2 linked regions of the Rattus norvegicus genome follow. The protein of the gene in region 2 purifies or fractionates together with the protein of the main gene of each other region. This does not show direct contact. Links are inferred from orthologs where the notes say so. Each region holds a gene or a part of one and is shown on either strand. Other genes may lie near its edges. The genes, in order: Cdc6 and Mcm7.

Region 1 (10,776 bases), on a different chromosome or scaffold from region 2:
CAGGGATTTCCTGAAGGAGCACATCTGTGGGAAAAAAGCTGGGAGTCTCTACCTTTCTGGCGCTCCTGGAACTGGGAAAACTGCCTGTTTAAGCCGGATTCTGCAGGACTTCAAGGTATGCTAAGAATCTGAATTATGGACACTTTTGCTGAAACATTATGTGTATATTTATGTATGTTTGTGTGTGTCCCCACACATTGGCATTTTACTTGCATGTATGGTTGTGTGAGAATGTTGGGTCCCCTGGAACTAGAGTTCTAGACAATTGTGCGCTGCTATATGGGTGCTGGGAATTAAACCCAGGTTCTTTGGAAAAGCAGCCACCACTGAGCTATCTCTCCAGCCCCAACAATTGACTCCTTTTTTTTTGGTTCTTTTTTTCGGAGCTGGGGACCGAACCCAGGGCCTTGCGCTTCCTAGGTTAAGCGCTCTACCACTGAGCTAAATCCCCAGCCCCCCCCCCCTTTTTTTTTAAATTTATTTATTATATAGAGGGCATCAGATCCCATTACAGATGGTTGTGAGCCACCATGTAGTTGCTGGGATTTGAACTCAGGACCTCTGGAAGAGCAGTCAGTGCTCTTAACCGCTGAGCCATCTCTCCATCCCCCAACAATTGACTTTTTTTTTTTTTCTGGAGCTGGGGACCGAACCCAGGGCCTTGCACTTGCTAGGCAAGCCCTCTACAACCGAGCTAAATCCCCAACCCCCAACAATTGACTCTTAAGGGTTAAGAAAGAATACATGATTAAGAGATCGGATGCTTCCTAAAAGTGAGACATTTTGTTGTTTCAGGGTATGAGTCTTTCCAAAGAAAGCAGAGCTTCGCTCTCGTGTCCTGTTAGCTCTCAGAGACCTGGTCAGGTTTGAGGAAGTTATTGTCTGAAGCCAACTTACCTCCCATGTTTCCGTCTTTTTTTTTTTTTTTTTTTTTTTTTTTTTTTTTCTTTTTAACCTAGAAGGAAGTGAAAGGCTTTAAAACTATCGTGCTGAATTGCATGTCCCTGAGGAACGCTCAGGCCGTGTTCCCAGCCATTGCTCAGGAGATTGGTCGGGAGGAACTCTGCAGACCCACCGGGAAGGACTTGATGAGAAAGCTGGAAAAGCACTTGACAGCCGAGAGGGGCCCCATGATGTGAGTGTTTCTCTGCTGCCTGATGCTCAGTGGAAATCTGCAAGGTGTTACCCCGGGAAAGAACTTAATTTTCAGAACATTCTAACTTATTTATTGATGGTTTTGGGGCTGGAATCCAGGGCTCTGTGTGTGTTAGATAAGCGTACTGCCACCCAGTCACACCCACAGCCCCTGTGCTTTCTTTCTGATTATTGAGTTTAAATTTTAACTGTTTTGTTTGGGTTGGGTTTTTTGGTTTGTTGTTGGTTTTTGGGTGTTTTGTTTGTTTGTTTGTTTTTTGTTTTGTTTTGAAACGGGGCTTCCTTTGTGTGTCCTTCGTTGTCCTCGAATTAGCACTGTAGACCAGGCCAGTATTAAACTCACTGTGATCTGCCTGCCTCTGCCCCCTGAGTGCTGGAATTAAAGGCGTGTATCATTTCTGCCAAGCCTAGTTTAAAGTGTAACTGTTTTTAAGCAAGTTCCTTGAAAACAATTGGACAATACCAGTTAGTGATGGGGGCTGTTGTGTTACCAACCTCAGGCAAGCATCCTAAGGTTAGCTCAGATCAAGCCTTGGAAGGTTGAGAATATGACGGGTACTAACGATGTCTCTTTCTATGTAGTGTGTTGGTGTTGGACGAGATGGATCAGCTGGACAGCAAAGGGCAGGATGTGTTATACACACTGTTTGAGTGGCCGTGGTTAAGCAATTCCCGATTGGTGCTCATTGGTTAGTGCTTGCTTGTTAATGTGACACGTTGTTAATTGTCTCAAGTCTGTTCAGCTTGTGACATATGTGAATGTTGTGTGTACAGAGGTTGACATCTCAGGTCTTCATTTTTTTACCGTCAAGTTTTTTTTTTTTTTTTGTTTTTTTTTTTTTTTTTTTTTTTTTTTTTTTTTTTGTTTTTTTTTTTGTTTTTGGAGCTGGGGACCGAACCCAGGGCCTTGCGCTTCCTAGGTAAGCGCTCTACCACTGAGCTAAATCCCCAGCCCCTCCATCTCTCCAGTTCTTCACTGTCAGTTTTTTTATTTACTGAGGCCGAGACTTTTGCTGAACCCGGAGCTCACTGGCTCCCTGGCTTCTGAGGATCTGAACCCAGCTCCTCGTATGTACTTAGCCAGTGTTTAATCCACTGAGCTGTGACATTTCCCTGCGCACCTTCGTTTCCTCTCCTTATTTTATGTGCACAGGTGTTTTGCCCGGGATGCAGTTCTTCCCTGCTTGGGTCCCTGATACCCATGGAGGCCAGAAGAGGGCATCTGATCCCCTAAACTGAAGTTACAGACCTATCATGAGCTGGCTTTCTGTCTTAGCAAAATAAGAAAGTTACTGTGGTAGAGTAAGCTAATATAAGGCACATTGATTTTATTAGGTCTGAATAAAAAAGTGACAAAGAAGCCAGACAGCACAGGAGGAAGCAGGGAGGGCATGATTTAGGGCGTAGTAGTAATAGTAGTGGTGGTAGTAGTAGTAGTAGTAGTAGTAGTGGTAGTAGTAGTAGTATTGCTGCTGTTGAAGAGATGGCTCATTGGACAAGGTTCTTGCTGCATTAGCATGAGAGATCCTGACTCAAAAAATAAGGTGCAGAGCCCTAAAGGAGAACATCTGACACCAACTTGGGCTCCGCCCACACACACACACACACACACAGGGAAGCGCAAATACACATGTGTACATACAACACACAATCGTACAAAGTGACATAGGCAGGGAGGGGTGTGAGTTGCCGGTAGATCACGTGCTTAGCGTGCACAAAGCCCTGGCCTCCGTTCTCCCGTATGTGCTCTAAAGAAAAGCACAAAATACCGCATTCTGAAACAATAGATTTGCTTTTTTGGTTTGTTTTGGTGTTCCAGTCAGGGTTTCTCTGCCTTGCCCTGGCTGTCCTAGAACTAGCTCTGTAGACTGGGCTGGTCTTGAACTCAGATCTGCCTGCCTCCCAAGAGCTGTGATCAAAGTGGGGGCACCACCGCACCTGGCTCAATAGATTTATTTTTTAAGACAGGTCTCACTGCAGCCCTGGCTAGCCTAGAATTCAACAGAAGTCTGCCTGCCCGCCCTCTTTTCTTACCCCCTTCTTCCTGGAGACAAGATCCCTTGTAGCCTCAAATTCATGATCCTCCTGTCTCAGTCTCCTGTGTTGGGACTATGAGCGACTATCCCCACCTAAGTACTACATCCTACCTACTAGGTCCACCTTACCTTCCAGTGTGGGGTATGGGGCAAGCGGAAGCAACCATTGAAACGCTGGGTTAAGCCTGGGAGTCTTAGGGGGCTTAGTTTCCTTCTAGGATGATTTTGCTGCTGGTGGTAATTGTTATTTACCTTCGCAGGTATTGCTAATACCCTGGATCTCACGGACAGAATTCTGCCGAGACTTGAAGCTAGAGAAGGCTGTAAGCCGAAGCTACTGAACTTCCCACCTTACACCAGGAATCAGATAGCTGCGATCTTGCAGGATAGGCTTAGTCAGGTGAGTGCCGATGCTGGGCCAAGTTCTGCTGTGGGGATGCTCTCCGCGATGGGACGCAAACGATAGGTTTAAAAGACTCCAATCTGATCGCTTTATTAATGGTGTGGCAAGCGCCTACAGACCATAATGAGTGAGAACATTTTTATGTGAATTTCTGCACGTGGTTTCGCTTATTGGCCATTTCACTGTCGAAACAAGAGTGGGAATTAGAGGGCTCATGACTCCTTAATGGCTTTTAAACAGTGCGACCCGGGCCAGTGTGGTGGCTTCATGGGTAAAGGCACTTACTAGTCACTGCTGGCTCTGATGGCCTGAGTTCAGTCCCTGTTTTATTTATTACCAGTACCGGAATTCACGAGGCCTCTCGTGCTAGTGTTTTGTGCTGAGCTCTCTTTATTTTGCATTCCTATTTACTATGCATTTATTTGAGACAGAGTCTCGCTGTGTTAACTTGACTTTAGATCCTCCTGCTGTAGTCTCCTGGTAGTTAGGATTTTGGGCCAGTGTTAACTAAGCCTGACTCAATCATCTCCTGGGTCTCGTCCGCAGGTATCAAAAGACCAGGTTCTGGACAGTGCTGCGATTCAGTTCTGTGCCCGCAAAGTATCTGCTGTCTCAGGGGACATCCGGAAAGCGCTGGATGTTTGCAGGTGAGTTATGGCTAGGTTGACTGTTTTTATTGAAGGAAAAAAAAAAAAAAGGAGATGTTGATGATCTGGTGTCGCCTAGATGAATATGACTTAAGAGGCTCCACTCTGCCTCTTTCCGAGCTCGGAAAAGAGGACTCGTCTCTCAGTGGGGAGTGCTGGGTTTCCACCGCGTTAATGTCTGAGACATTATCAGTCCATTACCTACGGAGGGAGAAGCAAATGAGATGTTGCCAGCACTCCCCGTGGTGATTATAGATTGGTTAATTACATTTGTATTAAAAAAGATGCGAGTTTGCTTTTCCATCCGCTGGTCTCAAGCAGGTTTATTTATGGACCTGAACCACCTTTTGCCTTCAGACTTTCTTCTTTCCTTTGCTTTTGTGGGCACCCCTTCCTCCTTCCAGTTGGTGGTCCCCCAAGTCCTACCCTAGACCTCTTTCTCTCTTCTGTCCCCCAGCTCCTCCTGCTGGGGAAAACCTCTGTGCTGACTGATGAAAGTTCTTCCTCCCAGTAGGGGCACTGGGTCCATTAAAATGATCCTCTGCTGTGCTGGCCCGCTGGTCCAACTTACCCCTATTGCCTTACAGAAGATCCAGGTCTGCCCATGGCCTCCTGTGGGCAAAGCACTTAAGAAAGAACAGTGGGAGAGGAAGCTCTTCCTGTTGCTAGATGGTGTGCTCTAGACTGAGAGTTCTCCCTAGTCAGCAAACTTACTTGAGAAAAACCGACAGCTATGAGTGATGACCATGCAGCAGGCCAGCAAGATTAGCCAACACATGTCCTCCTATATCTGACGACTCCCCTTTTGGGTCTGCTGGGTGGGAGTGCTGTCCAGCCCCACACTGTATACCCCGGCTACCCAAGACATTTTTCCTCATCTAAAATGTTATTGGCTCAGTGTATGACAACCTACCTGACATCGTAAAAGCGAGAAGAGTAGCAGTGTTTCCTAAATTCCTGGAGTTGTTATTTTAAAGGTAGATAAGTCTCTCTTAGGCCACAACATAACCCAGTTTATTTTCAAGCAGGGTCTCCTGGGTAACTGACTGGTCTGGAACTCACTATGTAAACTGGCCTCTTTTTTTTTTTTTTTTGGTTCTTTTTTTCGGAGCTAGGGACCGAACCCAGGGCCTTGCGCTTCCTAGGTAAGCGCTCTACCACTGAGCTAAATCCCCAGCCCCGTGAAAAGGCTTTTTTTTTTTTTTTTTTTTTTTTTTTTTTTTTTTTTTTGTGGTTCTTTTTTTTTTCGGAGCTGGGGACCGAACCCAGGGCCTTGTGCTTCCTAGGCAAGCACTCTACCACTGAGCTAAATCCCCAGCCCGTAAACTGGCCTCTTAATATTTACTGTTTTAGCTGTGTGTATGTGTGCTGTGACTATTATATGTATGTGCAGTGCCTGTGATGGCCAGAAGAGGGCATTGGGTGGTTGAGTGAGCTGCCTGTTGTGAGTGCTGGGCACCAAACTTGTAAGGGACATTTTTTTTAATGATTTTTTTATTTATTTATGTATATGAGTTTACTGTCGCTGTCTTCAGACACACCAGAAGAGGGCATCAGATCTCTTTACAGATGGTTGTGAGCTACCATGTGGATGCTGGGATTTGAACTCAGGACCTCTGGAAGAGTAGTCAGTGCTCTTAACCGCTGAGCCATCTCTCCAACCTGGGTCCTTAATTTTTTAAAAATGTCTTTTTAGTTAATGTGCCTGCTTTGGGGTATGGTGGCTTGGTGTGATATTTGGTTTGGCCCAAACTAAATTAATTTTAGAAATCTTTTTTCATAGGCGAGCTATTGAAATTGTGGAGTCGGATGTCAGGAGCCAGACAGTCCTCAAACCACTCTCCGAATGTGAGTAGCTTACCTGCTTCCTATCCGCCTTTCTAAAGAGTTACCTTGCTGAGGAGGGGGAAAGACCCAGTTAAATCTCCCTTCCCACAGCCGATACAAGAGGGAGCAGGGTGTGGCTTCGTCTGGTTCATTGCAGTCTTGCCTGCCAGGGTCAGTCTGTGTAGTACTAGAAATGAGTTCCCAGGGGTGTTCGTGAATGGTGGGGCTGGAGGACTAAGGTTTCTTCCTAGGCTCTGGGAACGAAAATGAGGTTGCAAGGTTGAGCCACCCTCTCAGGGTATGTCTGGTGCCCTTTAGGTGGTTCTGTGGGGGAAGGTAATGCCTGGTAAGTAAAGGGGAGAAAGGAAGAAAGCTTCAGGGAGCACGCAGATCGTGAGTTCACCTCAGGGCAGTCTGCGAGGCAGAGCACAGACCCCGGGGCTGTCACGGACAAGGCTGGTTTCCCTTTTCTTCGCTGGGGGATGTCACTCAGCTGCAAACCATATACTTACCAGTGTTAGGTGTCCAGCGTTAGTCTTTAGTTCTTTTTTTCGGAGCTGGGGACCGAACCCAGGGCCTTGCGCTTCCTAGGCAAGAGCTCTACCACTGAGCTAAATCCCCAACCCCGCGTTAGTCTTTAGAAACAGGGAGGGCTGACCTGTTTCTTCTGGTTGAGAGTTCAGAATAGAAACTTCCTCGTCAGAATTTACTGGTAGAAGCCGTTTAAAGGCTTTCAAATGGTAACCCAAATTAGTGCTTGGGCAGTGAATAGGCAGTGTATACCAATGTGTAGACTGTTTTCTCTGTCTGTAGGTTACTCCATCCTTACAGGCTCCCTTCCCCTAGCAATAACACACAGGCTCGTCAGTGGCCCTGGGGTCGTCAGTGGCCCTCGGGTCAGCACTGGCGCACGCTGCTAAAAGAGCTCCCAGGTTCCTGGTGTAGGTTATGGGAATGAGCTACTTCCTGTCTTTTGACTTCTGGGGGCGGGAGGCTGGCTATATAGAAAGCTATAGCGATGGTGACTTCCACTAAATAAGAGGGACTTTCTAATGCGCAGAAATAACTCGGTTCCCCAGCATTGAAGACAAGCAACAAGAAGTTGGCTAGACGGCAAGGGTGGCGGGCCATACCCGGGATCCAAGCACCCAGTACAAGTTCAAGGCCAGCACAGGAACGTAGACACGACTCTTAAGTCTTGAAACAGACGGATGGGATAGGTGTCACGCTGGGATTGTTTCAGAAGGGACCTTGCCATTGTGTGGGGAGGGAGTAAGGATAGACTCCCCGAGTTCCTTTTATCGTAGAACTTCTGCTACTCGATCCGTGAGCTCTGGTTTCTCTATTAGCCCTCTGCAGCTTCCTGCTTGTGGTAAAGCAATAGAAGCTGTTGTGGGGCAACTGCAGGCGGCCTCAGGAAGTAACTGCAGGCATAGGTTGTTAGAGAGCAAATCCTGCCTCTCCCGCAGCTGCTCTTCTCCAAGCAGTGGGGCCACCACGGCCCGTGTGCCTTCACCGTAGTTCCCAGCCTCCAGCTCTGGGGAGGGCGCTACACGCTAGGCTAGCCCCCGACATTTTTCTCAAGTGTCTTACAGAATAGTTTGGACACGTGAGGGAACCTCAGACAGAGGTCATTTGGGAAAGCCATCTGGGGTGTGGGGCCTAAGCCAGGACTGAGTTACTAGCCATGCTTACCCACCCACTTGATTCCAAATATTAGATGATTTTCCACAACTGTTCCTTTTGCTATTGGGCTTTGCTTCAGAGTTTTAGGCCCAGGATCGGCTGAGGGGCTTTGCACAAGGCAAGTGCTGGAGCACCAGGCTTCGTCCCCAGACAGCCTCTGGGACGCTTAGCCGTCCTTGTTGGCATCTGTCCGGGTTCTTGCCTTTTCAGGAGGGTAGATTAATTATCTTCTCAACATTAAACTACATTCTAAAGGACAAGATAAATGGGTGGGGCTGGGGATTTAGCTCAGTGGTAGAGCGCTTACCTAGGAAGCGCAAGGCCCTGGGTTCGGTCCCCAGCTCCGAAAAAAAAAAGAACCAAAAAAAAAAAAAAAGGACAAGATAAATGGAACTTTATTTCCCAGGGAAAAGACAATCCTGCCTTCTGGGACTGCCTTTCCCCTCATCTTCCACCCCAGAAACAACCTTTGCTGTCACGTGGGCACGTGGGTTTCTTTTAGCTGAAACCTGCATTGTGCGTCTCCACGCATATAGAGGCCGTATTTTAGAAATGGAATAAAGTGCCAGGCGGTAGTGGTGCACATCTTTAATCCTAGCACTCAAGAGGCAGAGGCAAGCAGAGCAGAGGACAGAGTTCGAGAGCAGCTACACAAGAGACCCTGTCTCGGAGGAGAAGGAAGGAAGGAAGGAAGGAAGGAAGGAAGGAAGGAAGGAAGGAAGGAAGGAAGGAAGGAAGGAAGGAAGGAAGGAAGGAAGGAATTAAATATAAGTCTTGCTTATTTACTTTGCAGGTAAATCACCCTGCGAGTCGCTGGTTCCCAAGCGTGTCGGTCTCGCTCACATATCCCAAGTCATTTCGGGAGTTGATGGTAACAGGGTGACTTTGAGCCAAGAAAACACACAGGATTCCCTTCCTCTCCAGCAGAAGATCTTGGTTTGCTCTTTGCTGCTCTTGACCAAGCGGCTAAAAATCAAAGAGGTCACCCTGGGGAAGGTAAGCTTCGAGGCTCGGCAGGTAGAGCCGAGGCTCCGCTGCACTTGGGAGGCAGAGGCAGGTGGAACTTTGCACATTTGACCCGGTCTGGTCTACATAGTGGGTTCTAAGCCAAGACTACACAGTAGTGAGGCATCATCTCAAAAACATGAGCTAAGGCCAAGCAGTGGTGGCCCGTGCCTTTAAGAACAAAATGCTGGGAGGCAGAGGCAGTGAGTTGACCATTAGCCAGATGTGGTGATATAATGAGTGATCCTGGCACCTAGGAGGCAGAGCCAGTACGGTTGCCTTCCGGGGCTGCGTAGAACCCATCTTTGTCTCGTCTCTGTTTCCCACCGAACTTGCATAGAGCTCCGTTCCTAAGTTCTACCTTCGAGTGAGATGACTCAACCATCAATAGCAATTGCTGCTCTTGCAGAAGACCGGGGTTCCATTCCCAACGCCCACACAGTGGCTCACAACCATCTGTAATTTTAGCTCCAGGGGCTCCGACAATTCTTCTGCCCTCCGTGGGCATCAGGCATGAAAGTGGTGTATGTACATAAATACGTGCCAGCAAAACACACTGAATGAATTTTTTCAAGGATAATCATAAAGTATTTGGGGCACCAAAGGTCTGTTGCCTACTCGAGGGTTCAGTGAAACTGGGTTGGGGGGGGGGATATTCAGGTAACTCAAGACACGGTTTCTGGGTTTACTTCTGTTTTTCAATCCGTAAGGTTATGAGATGTGGCTTTTAAGTGAGATCTGTTCTCCCTCATTTCCCCGCAGTTATATGAAGCCTACAGTAGTGTCTGTCGTAAACAGCAGGTGGCAGCCGTAGACCAGTCTGAGTGTTTGTCCCTTTCTGGACTCCTGGAATCCAGGGGCATTGTGGGACTGAAGAAAAACAAGGAGAGCCGCCTCACCAAGGTACAGGAGTCCCCGCTTTTAACCGTGCTGTCTTGGAGCGCATGTCCTTTGCCAAAGTAAAGACTAGAAGTGAATAGTTCTGCTGGGTAGGGCTTAAGATGTGAGGACGGGGCAGTTCGATTCGGGCCATTGAGGACGGCAGCAGTTATCCTGCCGGTCTGAGAGTGAACTATGATGGGGGGTGTGACTGTGTATGCCTATGAGCGCGTGTGCTCTTTCTTCATCATGGAAAGTCCTTTTCTCTCTGCAGGTGTCTCTGAAGATTGAAGAAAAGGAGATAGAGCATGTCCTAAAAGGCAAAGCTTTCATTGGGAACATCCTCGCTGCCGGGCTGCCCTGAACGGTTCTCTTCCTTAGGGCACCTGCAAGCGTCCTGCTGGCGTTTGCAGCTCGGGGGAGTCTTCGTTTTAGTAAGGTCGTTCGGAAACAGTTAACGGCCTTTTTTACTCCGCACCAGTAAATTTTAGTGTATGAATTCCTGAGTGTTAGCACTGGCTAATGTCCTTGGCTCTTACTGTTTTTACCCATAAAAATGACCGAGTGCTGGGTGTGATGGCGGATGCCTGTGCTCCCAGCACTTGGGAAACAGAGTCAGGAGTTCAAGGCCATCCTTTGCTACACAGTGAGTTTGAGCTAGCCCGGACTACACAAGACTGTAAAAAGTAAAAGCAGGGCTGGGGATTTAGCTCAGTGGTAGAGCGCTTACCTAGGAAGCGCAAGGCCCTGGGTTCGGTCCCCAGCTCCGAAAAAAAAAGAACCAAAAAAAAAAAAAAAAAGTAAAAGCAATGACCCCTTTTAAAGCAACATTCAGTACTTTTCCCTTCCTGACCACGGTACCTGCAAGTGTGTACAGACTTGTGTTGAAGAATTCGTATGTATATTACCTCTGTCTACAAAGGGTGTGTTTTGTAAAGAACTTTGAGGTTTAGAAAGATGAAACGGAATGATCCAGAAAAATACACAAGCCTACATGGGAAACACAAAGGACATTTTGTGCAGAGGACGCTCCATACATGTGACAGGTGCTGCCGCACCGGACTTTCTAAAGACGGGTGGACGATTCTCCAGCGCTCCCCACCAGTATGGGGGTGACAAGGAGAGTGTAACTACAGAT
Region 2 (11,396 bases):
TCACTGAAAGTGAAGGGAGTATAGGAAGGGGAGGGATGCCAAGCCCATCTTAATAATTCTGGGTAACCCAAATCCTTGTTTTCCTATATCCCGGAGGCACCTCGGGGGTGATGTGTCATGTGGGGGTCTAACAAACCAAAAATCCATTCCAAGGCCTTATACCTCCAGCTTGACTAGCACTTAGGCTCAGAAAGCATTAACAAGCCAGACCCAAGCAGGAGGCAGTCAAAACACTTTATTGGCAGAATAAAAAAGTGCAGCATGGGAAATTGTCCTCTCAGGGGGCATCACGCAAACTTTCTGGGGTAGGCAGTAGGGCTCAAAAACTGGCTGTCAGACAAAGGTGATCCGTGTCCGAGAAGTATTGACCTGCCAGACATTTAGCTCCTCATATTCATCCAGAGCTGCCTGGAACTGGGCTGGTGTGAAGCCACGTGATATGCAGCGCTGTTCAGCCTCAGAAAAGCGGACACTCCGTCCCCCTGATACCAACTCACGGACGGTAGCAAATATCACATCTGCTGGCCTCTGGGTCCTGAAAGACAAGGATGGAAAAGGTTAAGTGCAAGGCCCAGTAGCCATCAGCACCAAAATCCTGAAGTCAAACTTGTCCATGTGCAGAAGCCACAAAAGTGACCAGCTCAATTATGTCAGGTAGCCCAATTTCATTAAGACACTCACCTAGCCGTTTGTCCCTTTTCACCCAGAAGGGAGTCCTTTGACATCTCCATCAACCTTATGGCTTCATTCACATCTTCCTTCTCCACAATATCTACCATCCGAAGGCGAGCCTAAGGGGAAGGCGTGGGGAAATAGGGATAGGAGGGGAGGAGGGGTGAAACCAAGGATCTCTGCTCTGGCTTCAAACCCGGGCAAGCCACATTCGCCTACTCATAGAACAAAAGTGGGTTCTTCCCTGCCCCCCACATCTGCAGTGTTGGGCCGGCACTGTCAGACCGAGACAAGTGCAATGCCCAGGGCAGCGTCCAGCAATTGCCCGTGTCTCCGCCTCTCAACACTGGCCAGTCCCGGTGGGTGTCCTGCCGTCCTGTGAGGGAGACCAGACCCTTCTGAACTCCACTAGGCTCCCCATCGTGACAAGTGGAGCCTGGGGTGCTCAGCTAGGGCCACTGTCAGAGGCTGTGTCCTGGGGGCTCGGGAAGTGCTAGCTCAGCAGTAGGTCAGGCAATGCACTACCTGCACGAACAGCACTTTGGAGCCCCCATGACTAAAGGTCCAAGAGGGGAGGACAGAAGGAAGACTTCTAAGATATCTAGGGCATCAGGAACTCAAGTCCTTCCAACCCCCTCGTGGATTCAAGCAGCCTTTCCCTCCGTGGGTGTTGCATGTGCCCTGCTGGAGCAGCAAGTACCCACAGTGCGGTAGCACAGAGAGGACCACTATCTGCACTGTCAGCACTTTAGTCCCAGCAGGGCTGGTGGGAGGGAAGAAGGCAGCTTGAAGGACATTAGGTGAGGTGGCAGGCAAGGGTCAGCCTTCTAGCAGACAGGGACCCAGCACTCACCAGAGCAGTAGAAAGTCGGAGAATGGCCAGCAGGGTCCGGGCAGAAGTGTAGGTGGCATCCTTACTGGCCCGGGCCTCTCGCCTCATCTCCACATACGCTGCAGTGATGTAGTCAGCCAGAGAGTCAGGCACTGTGGGCTGCCTCTCGCGGCACATGGCAATGTACCGTCTGTGGGAAACAAGGCTCATGGGAAAGCGGAAGACATGCATGCTTTATAGGAGATTTCCTACTTAATATTCTATGCTGGAAGTGGACAACTATTTGCTTAGGCATAACTGAGGGACTTCTCTAGGCTTCCCAAAGCAAGACAAATGCACCTGCATTGGGCAGATTTAACTCCTCTGAACTTGTCACATAAGGGGACAGACTTCAGAGGCCCAGAGAAAATCAATTTAGAAACCTGCAGATTTGTGAGGTGCTGAGTCATCTGTGCTATGGAAACAGACACGGCCAAAAAGCTATACCTGCCTAAGACAAGAAGAAGACAGTAAGGGAGACCCTTTTATATATGGGGGAGGCCAGTAGTTTTTGGAGACACCCCTAAAAGATCTCTAAAAGATCCCCTTGCCTCAGGATGCACAGCAGCTAAGTTTACTTACAGCCTGCTGCTGTCACCCCAAACCAGAAAAGTTTCTGATGATCCCTTGCTTTGTGGCTAAAGACCCAGGCTCAGTATTCTCAGGCTCAGCTACTTTGAGGGAGGAGGAAGTAAATACATTGTCCTCTGCAGACTGAAAGCTTTTCAGACACACTTGGCATAAGACAATGCCACACACAAGTATTCCCCTGAGACATCCCCATCCCTCTCACCTCATAAGTTTCATGTCCAAAGGTTCAAATTGAGCAGGGGGCTGCCGGCTGTGCTGGTGGACATAGGTTATGTGCTGGGCCAACCTGGAGAGAAGACAAGGCTTTAGAGCTGTAACACCCTGAGATTTTGACTCAGTATCCCTTTTTAGCCCCATCTTTTCTCCAAAGAATGACCAACAGGTCTCCCAGAAAACCCCTCACCATCTTTGCTCCAACCTTCTGTCTCCCCATGAACTGCAGACAAGGAAAGTGTTTACTGTGTCTGAACACAGACAAGTTGAGTTGCTCTGACTTTACCTCCCTTCCCCAAAGTCACTAAAATGGACTGTCTCTATACTTCATTCACCGGAGGTCGTTGTCTCTGTCGGGCCGGTCCTGAATCAGCCAGAGGAGGTCGAATCGGGAGAGCAGAGCAGCAGGAAGCTGTATGTTCTGCTCCAAACTGCGGCGGGGGTTATACCGTCCATAGGCAGGGTTGGCAGCAGCCAGGATAGAGCATCGGGCATTGAGTGTGGTGAGAATTCCTGCCTTGGCAATGGAGATGGTCTGCTGCTCCATAACCTCATGGATGGCTGTGCGGTCAGCTTCTGCCATCTTGTCAAACTCATCAATGCAGCACACGCCCTGGTCAGCCAGCACCAGGGCACCACCCTCTAAGGTCAATTCCCCACTCACAGAGTCTCTCAACACAGCTGCTGTGAGCCCTACACCAGAGGAGCCCCGGCCCGTTGTGTACTGACCTGCAAAGAGAAGCAGCAAACTGCTCCAGAAAGGAACTGCTTTCCCCAGGCCTTCCAAAGGCCTCATAGTACTTAATCAAACACCAAGCCCCATCCCTGCCATACTCACTTCGGGGCGCCAGACGGTCAATGTAAGACAGGAGCTGAGACTTGGCCACACCAGGATCTCCCATAAGGCAGATGTGGATGTTTCCTGGCAAATGTAAAGGAAGCCTGAGTGATCCCTCGACTCAAGTTGTCAACCCAGAGGGAAGAAGAGCCTTTGAGACCTGGACCCCTTCCCAAAGTCCCTACTGCATCAAAGACAAGCACTCAGCCAAGTCACTAACCCTAAGTTGTTATTCACAGACTCACGGGATACTTACATTTCCACCCTCCCAAATAACCCTGCCTTCCAACGCCTCCTGTCCTCCTACCTCTTATCTTCATGCCTTGAGGAGACTGGTCCACACCACCCACCAGGAGCAGTAAGAGCGCCTTCTTCACATCTTCATGACCATAGATCTCCGGAGCAATAGAAGCAGCCAGCTTTTCATAGAAATCTTCCTCTGCAAAAAATTAAGTCATAGCATTTTCTTCAGGACAAGAGCTGGGTAAAGCTCGGCTACGACCTGAGCCCGGGGCCTCACCGGCAATCTGCTTCAGCTCCTCGGCACTCAGCTCTCCGGCCCCAGACACATCATCCTCGCTCTTCGTCATCTTCACAACCCGATGGGCTTCCAGGTAAGTTTCCGAGAGTAAGCCCTGGGCAGAAGAACGCCAGTGTACAGATGTGTTCCCTTTAAGTTCCCCATCACCAGAGTCCCCGAGAACTTCTAAGTTCCAGCTTAGTGGCTTTCATTTTCTCAGGGTGTTAAGAGTGGGTAGATGAGGTGGAAAGGCAGTTATTCCCTCATTTCCCAACACCCTCACCTGTGCCATCTGTTGGAACCCTGTGCGCAAGACTGGCAAGAAGATGCCAGTGACGCTGACATGGTCACCAGGCTGGGCAATCCTTGTGTTCTCTCCTTCTAGAACCACTGTGATGCTCCGAGGGATGTTTCCCACCGGAACTTGGTCACTCTAGGAGATTGGGGGGAGGGCATGACACAGAACACATGAGACAAGGAGAAAAGTAAGGCAGATAGAGACCTAGCCCAACTGTATCACCCCAGAAGATGCCCATTTTACGGTTAAGATTCAGGTTAAGATTAGAAGACCTCATCAGGAAGGAAGCTGAATTCTTCTCCTCCCAACGCAACCAGAAAATATTTCAATTAAATCACTTCCTGACTTTCTGATTTAGAGCAAATAAAAAAAAATTCTAGGCAAACCTCTTTCCCAATCTTTCTTCCTGCCATTTCACAACCAGGTGCAGGACTTATATCCCCCAAACTTACATGTTCTTGAATCTTCATTTCCTGGAATTTAATAAATTTGGAGCCACGAGTCTGTAGGTACAGCCGCCCCCCTGAGCGGTTGGTTTGGCACTCCTGGCTGGGGCACATGATCAGAGGCATGAAGGTGGGAGACTGGATCTAGAAAAAAAAAGGAAGGAAACAGGAAATCAAGCCTTACAATCACCACAGCAATCATTTCTGCTGTGTCAAAACATTTTCAAAGTATAAGAGCCTCTTGAAATATTCCAAGTCAAAACAACCAGAGATCAAATCGCTAACAAGAATTAAATGGATACCAAAATGTTTGTAATAGCCTGGGAGAAAATGATAGATTACAATCAGTGGGACAATTTCAAGGACAGAGAACAGAGGCCTATTTTTCTTTTCCCTATTGTATACATACCGGCTGGTAGGTCTCTGCCCCACATTGATCGCAAGTGTATGTGGCCACCACCATCCTGGGCTTGACTTCAGACACACGAGTGACAATCCCACGCACAGTTAACAATTTCCCTACAGAATCAGCCCGTACTTCCCGGATCACTCGAGGCTTGCTGCTACTTGGGCCTTGGAAATACAACTCACTAAGAGAAAGAAACATTTGTCAACAAGGCCCTGGAGAGCAAGTCCCTGCCCCTTCCCACAGAGGTACTTACAATCTACGCATGAGCTCAGAAGGATACTGGTTTTGAGGGTTCCGGACTGCCCCAGGGTCTCTGCTCCGCTGCTCCATCATCAATCGGTGTTCAATGTAAACATCCAGGACATCCTTATTCACCACCTCCTTCTCCTTGTACTCAGGCAGAAGCTCCTGTACTACGTCAGCAAACAGCCTCGAGTAGCGCTTGGCATTCTCGCAAATTGAGTCGACCAACTCAGGGTCATCTTCAGCTACATCATCTAGGTCCACGTACAATGCCACTTGTTCCCGATGAGCCAGATGAACCTGAGGTAAGGAAGAGACAGTAACACTTTAGAGTCAAGTTCACCTCACCCACAAAAGCGCTTCTAAGTCACTGGCCTACCTCCCATGGGGAAAAACAGAATAGTGTCCAGCAGAGTGACAGGTGTTCCCAATCCCAGCACTTAGGATTTAGAAGACAACAGAATGAGGAGCTCAAAGCCAACCTTAGCTATGTAACTACATAGGGTGTTCTTGATGCTGGTCTGTGCTACACACAGACTATCCCTAAAAACCAAGAGCTAGGCATGGATGAGAATGCTCAGCAGGTTAGACACTTGCCATCTAGCCAGATGACCTGAGCTTGCTCTTCAAAACACATGTGGTGGGAGACTCCCACAAATTGTCCTGTTGACCTCCACACATGCTATGGCATGCCCATGTGAGCACAAGCATACAGGAATAAATACAAGTAAAACAGCTAAGAAAATCCAAAAGTAAACATAGAAGAACTCAAAACTTTGTATAAAAACAATCAAAACCAAGTCATTCACTGATAGCCATTCTTGCTATCACAAGGTAGGGCACCTTATACAAGTTCTTACACACCACTCCACTCCCCATAACCCACCCTGAGACTTACCAACTGGGTCCCATACTTGAACTGCTTCTTTCCAAGCTCATCATCATAATAAAACTCTTGCAGGAACTTCTTCACTTTTTCTACAAATATGAAATAAAATATCTTTGTGGACAGTGAGGTGTAAAGCCCACGCCAAGTCTGACAACTGGAGTTCAATCTCTGGGACCCACCCACAGGTTGGAAGAGTTCTGCGGGTGTCTAGCACCCAACTGTAAGCTGTGATGTGCCCGTGCAAACGCGCACGTGCTCTCACAAACAATAACGTAGCAAAAAAACTTAAAAACAATCACTCTCCCTTTTGGATTCTTTATTTCAAACTCTTAACGGAAAACTAAGAAACCCGCTTGGCGGGACTTATGAACTAGTTAGTTAAATGAACATTCAAAACAAATCTACCAAGTTCTCAAAGTAGCAGTGCTCCCTTTCACAAGTCTGTTTTTACCTAGGGAAGAATATAGGTCCCTGGGCAGTTACAATAATCTTACCTAACCACCCTCAAGAAATTCCAGTGTCTGCCTTAGTTAGGAACCTCAGTTTCTTCAATTCTCTCAGCTTGCTCACAGTCGACCTAAGACCCTCGGTTCTCCCTCTACCAGTACAGTACAGCTCTTTCTTTTCCGGCTCCCGCCAGAACGTCTGCCACTAGGCCTCCTTCGGCACCCCATGCCCGGCTCCCGCCACTGCTTCCGCTCTTAGTAAACAAAGAAGCACATGGGCCTGGATTCCAGCCGCCTCACAACCCAGGATTCCTCCGCCTGAAACCGGTGGCCGTGCGGGGATTGGCCAGAACTCCAAAGGGCCACTCGGATTCACCATACTGCCAACGCTCACCGCCCGGCGCTCAGCCTCCCAATCCCAGGCACGCCCCTACCTAGAGCAGTTATCTCCGATGCCACCGCGCGGAAGGACACTGTTTACACACGACAGCCCTCCGATCAGGTAGCGCCATTTCCGCCCGCCTCTACTTCCGCTTGGAGGGCGGCCGAAAACTACCAATCGCGGAGCGGAGCGGTCCAGCAAGCCCCGCCTCTGGGCTCCGGCGCGCCTCGAGTGCACGCGGGAATTTGCTAGTGCCCCAAGGCGCAGAGGCTGGTCTAGTAACCCAGTCCCTCAAACCCCGTACTGAAGGCTCCACGTCATCTGGTCTTCCCCGAGCACGCCCCTCCTCTTTGTGGCCTTCACTGGGTTCTCTCCCTAACACAACCACATCATCTTTTCCAAGCAGAATTGCTTCCTCCATTCTTAATGCCCATTGCTTATCCCAGGTGCAGTTAGCTTGTCCCCAGAGTCACAGATCTCGGCTCCCCCCAAGACCCAAGCTCCCCTCAACAGGTGTAGGTAGAGAAGTTTCCCTCCGAGGACGCCGTTCCCAGCCCTATAGAGCATCACCTTTCTCAATCGCATAGTCCTTAAGCGCCATCGCTGCCGGGGACCGTGCGGCAAGACTTAAATGGTTCTGAAGTCTCACTCCGGGGAAGCAGAAAACGAACGCGCAGCGGTACGTAGCTCTCCAACCGAAATTGGCGCGAAACGTCGTCACCCATGTGACCCATACGGCTAAATACGGGCCAATCAGAGAGGGGGTTCCCAACCGCTGCCGGCCCCTAACTTTAACCAATCACTGGATGAATCTAGATTGAATGACAGAGAGCTAGGGGGCGGGCCGGTGGAAGATTGCCTGATTCTGCTGGGTTGGGCACCCGATTTCCCGCGGTTCGAAATTAATGCTCGCGAGTGTGTGTGTGGGAGGAGTTTCTTAAAGCGCCAGCCTCAGTGCGGCCTTTTGTTCCGTGTCCGCAAGGCGGGGTGGGTTCAACTTTCACCGTCTTCTTGTCTATCCTTCAGAACGGCCATGATTTCCCAGTTCTTCATTCTGTCTTCCAAGGGGGATCCGCTCATCTATAAAGACTGTATCCTTTGGACCGGGAGACGGGATAGGGGAGGTGGGTAGAAATCGAAACCAGGCCAGTCTGTGTCGCCTGCTCCTTAACTATCTTTCCATCTGGCTAGTCCGAGGGGATAGTGGTGGTCGTGATGTGGCCGAGCTCTTCTACCGGAAGCTGACGGGACTGCCGGGAGGCGAGTCCCCGGTTGTCATGGTAACTACTGTGGCAGGCGAGCAGGGGCTTAGAACTGTGGAGGTGGGTGGGTGCCTCATCTCTCCCTGTCAAGGGCGGCTTGGTAGGAAGAAGCTTTTTTTTTTTTTTTTTTTTGGATGTAATGAGCAAAGGCGAGGTTTATTACGGAGATCTATTATGGGGATCTCCGGGCCGACATGTATCCCGCGCAGGAGACAGAGGTGTCGACCAGGAAGAAGCTTTTAAGGAGGAAGGATTCGTTTCTCCAAGTAAGATAGATGAGTACTGACAAGACGCCAGATGCAGAGCCTTGCATCCCCATCTCTAGACTATCAATAACTCAGAGAGGTAGGTGCTACCTTTACACGTTAGGTGGCCAGGTCTTAGGTCTCAGGGATCGCCCAGCGTCACACTTCTACCATCACGATTGGAGACCCCAGGGTGCTATCTTGCAGGCTACATTACTACAATTCTGGTCTTTTGTTAATAATGCCTCTGTCCTCAACTCTGCCTTAGTATCACGATGATCGTCATTTTATTCACATCAGACACAGTGGTCTCTATTTGGTGGCCACAACTTCAGAAAATGTCTCTCCTTTCAGCCTCCTGGAGCTACTTTCCAGGTGAGTGGGGCTGGAACAGGCACGTAAGAAGGAGTGTATGAGAGGTTTATTCACACAATCCGCTGTGTTTCCTTAGGTTAGCCACTCTCTTGGGTGACTACTGTGGCTCACTCAATGAGGGGACCATCTCACGGAATGTGGCGCTTGTCTACGAACTCCTGGATGAAGTGCTGGTAAAGCTCAAAAACTTCCCTCTTTTTAAAGTTTATTCATGTTTGCGTGTGTGCATATATGTATTTGCCCACACCACTGCATATGTGTGGAGTTGAGAACAATTTGCTGGAGTCAGGTCTCTTCTACTTGTTGTGGGGTCTATTTAAATCCAACATAAATCCACCATAACTCAAGCACTAGGTCAATGCAGATGACAAAACTGTACTGTAATCGGGCTGCCGTCTGATCAGGGCTGTAGAACAGACCCGGGAACTGAACTACAACCTGAAGAGAAATTGCCTAGCATATTTAAAGGGTGACCCCACAAAGTGAAGGAGAGTGAGGTGAGCTATATCACTGTCCAATCATATGTTGACATAAGGGGTTGAGCAAAGGACCATTCACCAATCAGATTAGGAGTAGTTTTCTTGGGCTTAGTTGATCTTGCCAGCAAGATGGAGAAGTTGTCCTTGAGGTGTCTGAACTCACTGTTCTCTTACAAGCTGTGCCTGAGAAGGCAGGACTCAGACAACTCTGTACGAATTGTCCCTAAGATGTCTGAACTCAGACAACTGTTTACAACAGAAGCTGCTCTGCTACCGGGAAGTCCCCAGACCCCCTAGGGCTTGGGATCTTGAATTTAGTTTCTTTTTATGTAATCATGGAGTATGAGAATTATGTATGGAGTCTGAGAATGAAATGATAGTATTTAGAATAAGTTTCTTTTGCTTGTTCCCAACCAACATACTGTCTAGGTCCCTGGGATTGAAATAAAGTTGACTGGCTTGGTAGCAAGCATCAGCAGAGTCATCTCACAGGATCTCTGTCTGTCTCCATGTGTGTCCTTCTCTTTCCAGTCCTTTGCTGGTCATGGTGGTATATGCCTTTAATATAGCAGCACCCAGAGGCATTCCCAGTCTACATAACGAGGCCAGCCAGGGTTACATAATGAGATCTTGTCTCAAAAAATTACAATAAGGGGTTGGGGATTTAGCTCAGTGGTAGAGCGCTTGTCTAGCAAGCGCAAGGCCCTGGGTTCGGTCCCCAGCTTTGAAAAAAGAAAAGAAAAGAAAAGAAAAGAAAATTAGAATAAGCAGCCAGCCATAGTGGCACACTCAGGATGCAGGGGCAGGGGAATGGCCCTCTTGAGTTTAAGGCCAGCCTGATATGTGCACTAAGCTAACTAGATTGCAAGTCTCCTGTGGTTCTCCTGTCTCCATCTCCCGTCTCTGAATGGGAACCCTGGGATGGCAGATGCTTCTTACTATGTTTCGGGGATTGAGCTCCACACACTTGCTCAGCAAGCCTTTACCCACTGAACCATCTCCCTAGCTCCAAGGACTTTGTTCTCGTATCCCGTGCTACGGTGAAGAAATGTCCTCTCTTACTGGGTGTGTGGTTGGGAGGCTACATCCACACTCTTTCCGTCCATAGGATTACGGCTATGTGCAGACTACGTCCACAGACATGCTGAGGAACTTCATCCAAACTGAAGCCGCGGTCAGCAAGCCTTTCAGCCTCTTCGACCTCAGCAGCGTCGGTCTGGTCAGTCGCTGGGAAGGAAGAGGGGCAGGAGGGTCGGCTCTGAGTACAAAGCTGAAGAGTGGTTGCTTTGGGTACTTTACAGTTTGGGGCAGAGACGCAGCAGAACAGAGTGGCCCCAAGCAGTGCAGCCAGCCGCCCTGTCCTGTCCAGTCGTTCTGACCAGGTAAGGGAGGGATCGGTAGGGCCAGATTTGATGATTTTTTTGGCCTACAACCCTGAAGTCGTAAGAATCAGCTTATCTTTCTGCTCCTTTGACATGGCATCCCTTCCTTTACTCCTGGGCCCCCATCCTAGGACTCTTCTTCAACTTTCCGTCCCTTCAGCTGCCTCTTTTGTCTTATGCATGAGTGTGTGTATGTGCAGAGCAAGTTTTTGTGTGGAGGCCAAAGGACCAGGCCTTTGATGTCATCCCGGGGAACGCCATCCACCTCCTTGGAAACATGATCTTTCACTAGCCTGGAGCGCACTGACCAGGTCGGGCTGGCTGGCCCACCAGTGAGTCTCAGGGACCTGCATGTCTTCACGTCCCTAGTGTAGGTTGTAGGTTACCTATAATAACCTGTATTGCCTTGGCATCAGACTCAGATCGTCATATTTATGTGACAAGCACTTTTTTTTTTCTGACTGAGCCATCTCTGTAGTTCCTCTTATTTTGCCTTTTTGATATAAGGCTGTCCTTGGGTCCTCCAACCCAGGCTCTCACCTTGTAACCCAGGCTGACTCACGACAGTCCTCCTGCCTCAGCTTCCCAAGCGCTAGATTACAAGCATGTGTCACCATTCCTGACTTTGCCTGTCTATTGAAAGACAGGTTTTTCCAGACTGGGTGTGGTAATTCATGCTTTTCATCCGAGCACTTGAAAGGCAGAGGCAGGTAGATCCCTGTGAGTTCATGGCCAGCCTGGTCTACAAAGCAAGTCCAGGACAGCCAGGGCTCTTTTACACAGAGAAACCCCATCTCAACCCTGTCTCGAAAAAGACAAACCAAAACAAAACATG

What was found.
Region 1: the proteins of Mcm7 (region 2) and Cdc6 purify together in Homo sapiens (affinity purification with western blotting; 3 studies listed by BioGRID). This does not show direct contact. The link is inferred for Rattus norvegicus from reciprocal best matches to the Homo sapiens genes MCM7 and CDC6.

The regions. Positions count from the first base shown.
Region 1 is NC_086028.1:84,363,438-84,374,213, forward strand, and holds part of Cdc6 (cell division control protein 6 homolog), read left to right. Parts: coding exon 1-115; intron 116-959; coding exon 960-1,135; intron 1,136-1,737; coding exon 1,738-1,844; intron 1,845-3,451; coding exon 3,452-3,591; intron 3,592-4,140; coding exon 4,141-4,241; intron 4,242-6,024; coding exon 6,025-6,089; intron 6,090-8,547; coding exon 8,548-8,750; intron 8,751-9,521; coding exon 9,522-9,662; intron 9,663-9,912; coding exon 9,913-10,002; 3' UTR 10,003-10,776. UniProt on the Homo sapiens protein: Involved in the initiation of DNA replication. Also participates in checkpoint controls that ensure DNA replication is completed before mitosis is initiated.
Region 2 is NC_086030.1:22,155,701-22,167,096, forward strand, and holds Mcm7 (DNA replication licensing factor MCM7), read right to left. Parts: upstream 7,479-11,396; 5' UTR 7,420-7,478; coding exon 7,389-7,419; intron 6,942-7,388; exon of another isoform or gene 6,871-6,941; intron 6,709-6,870; exon of another isoform or gene 6,485-6,708; intron 6,080-6,484; coding exon 6,000-6,079; intron 5,402-5,999; coding exon 5,112-5,401; intron 5,040-5,111; coding exon 4,859-5,039; intron 4,594-4,858; coding exon 4,456-4,593; intron 4,139-4,455; coding exon 3,989-4,138; intron 3,821-3,988; coding exon 3,706-3,820; intron 3,625-3,705; coding exon 3,493-3,624; intron 3,270-3,492; coding exon 3,186-3,269; intron 3,077-3,185; coding exon 2,683-3,076; intron 2,421-2,682; coding exon 2,337-2,420; intron 1,695-2,336; coding exon 1,526-1,694; intron 1,435-1,525; exon of another isoform or gene 1,353-1,434; intron 1,231-1,352; exon of another isoform or gene 1,144-1,230; intron 1,049-1,143; coding exon of another isoform or gene 1,013-1,048; exon of another isoform or gene 798-1,012; intron 792-797; coding exon 682-791; intron 536-681; coding exon 334-535; and 2 more. Other genes in the region: Ap4m1 (AP-4 complex subunit mu-1), read left to right, coding at 7,852-7,909, 8,010-8,134, 8,594-8,700, 8,777-8,873, 10,288-10,398, 10,481-10,561. UniProt on the Homo sapiens protein: Acts as a component of the MCM2-7 complex (MCM complex) which is the replicative helicase essential for 'once per cell cycle' DNA replication initiation and elongation in eukaryotic cells.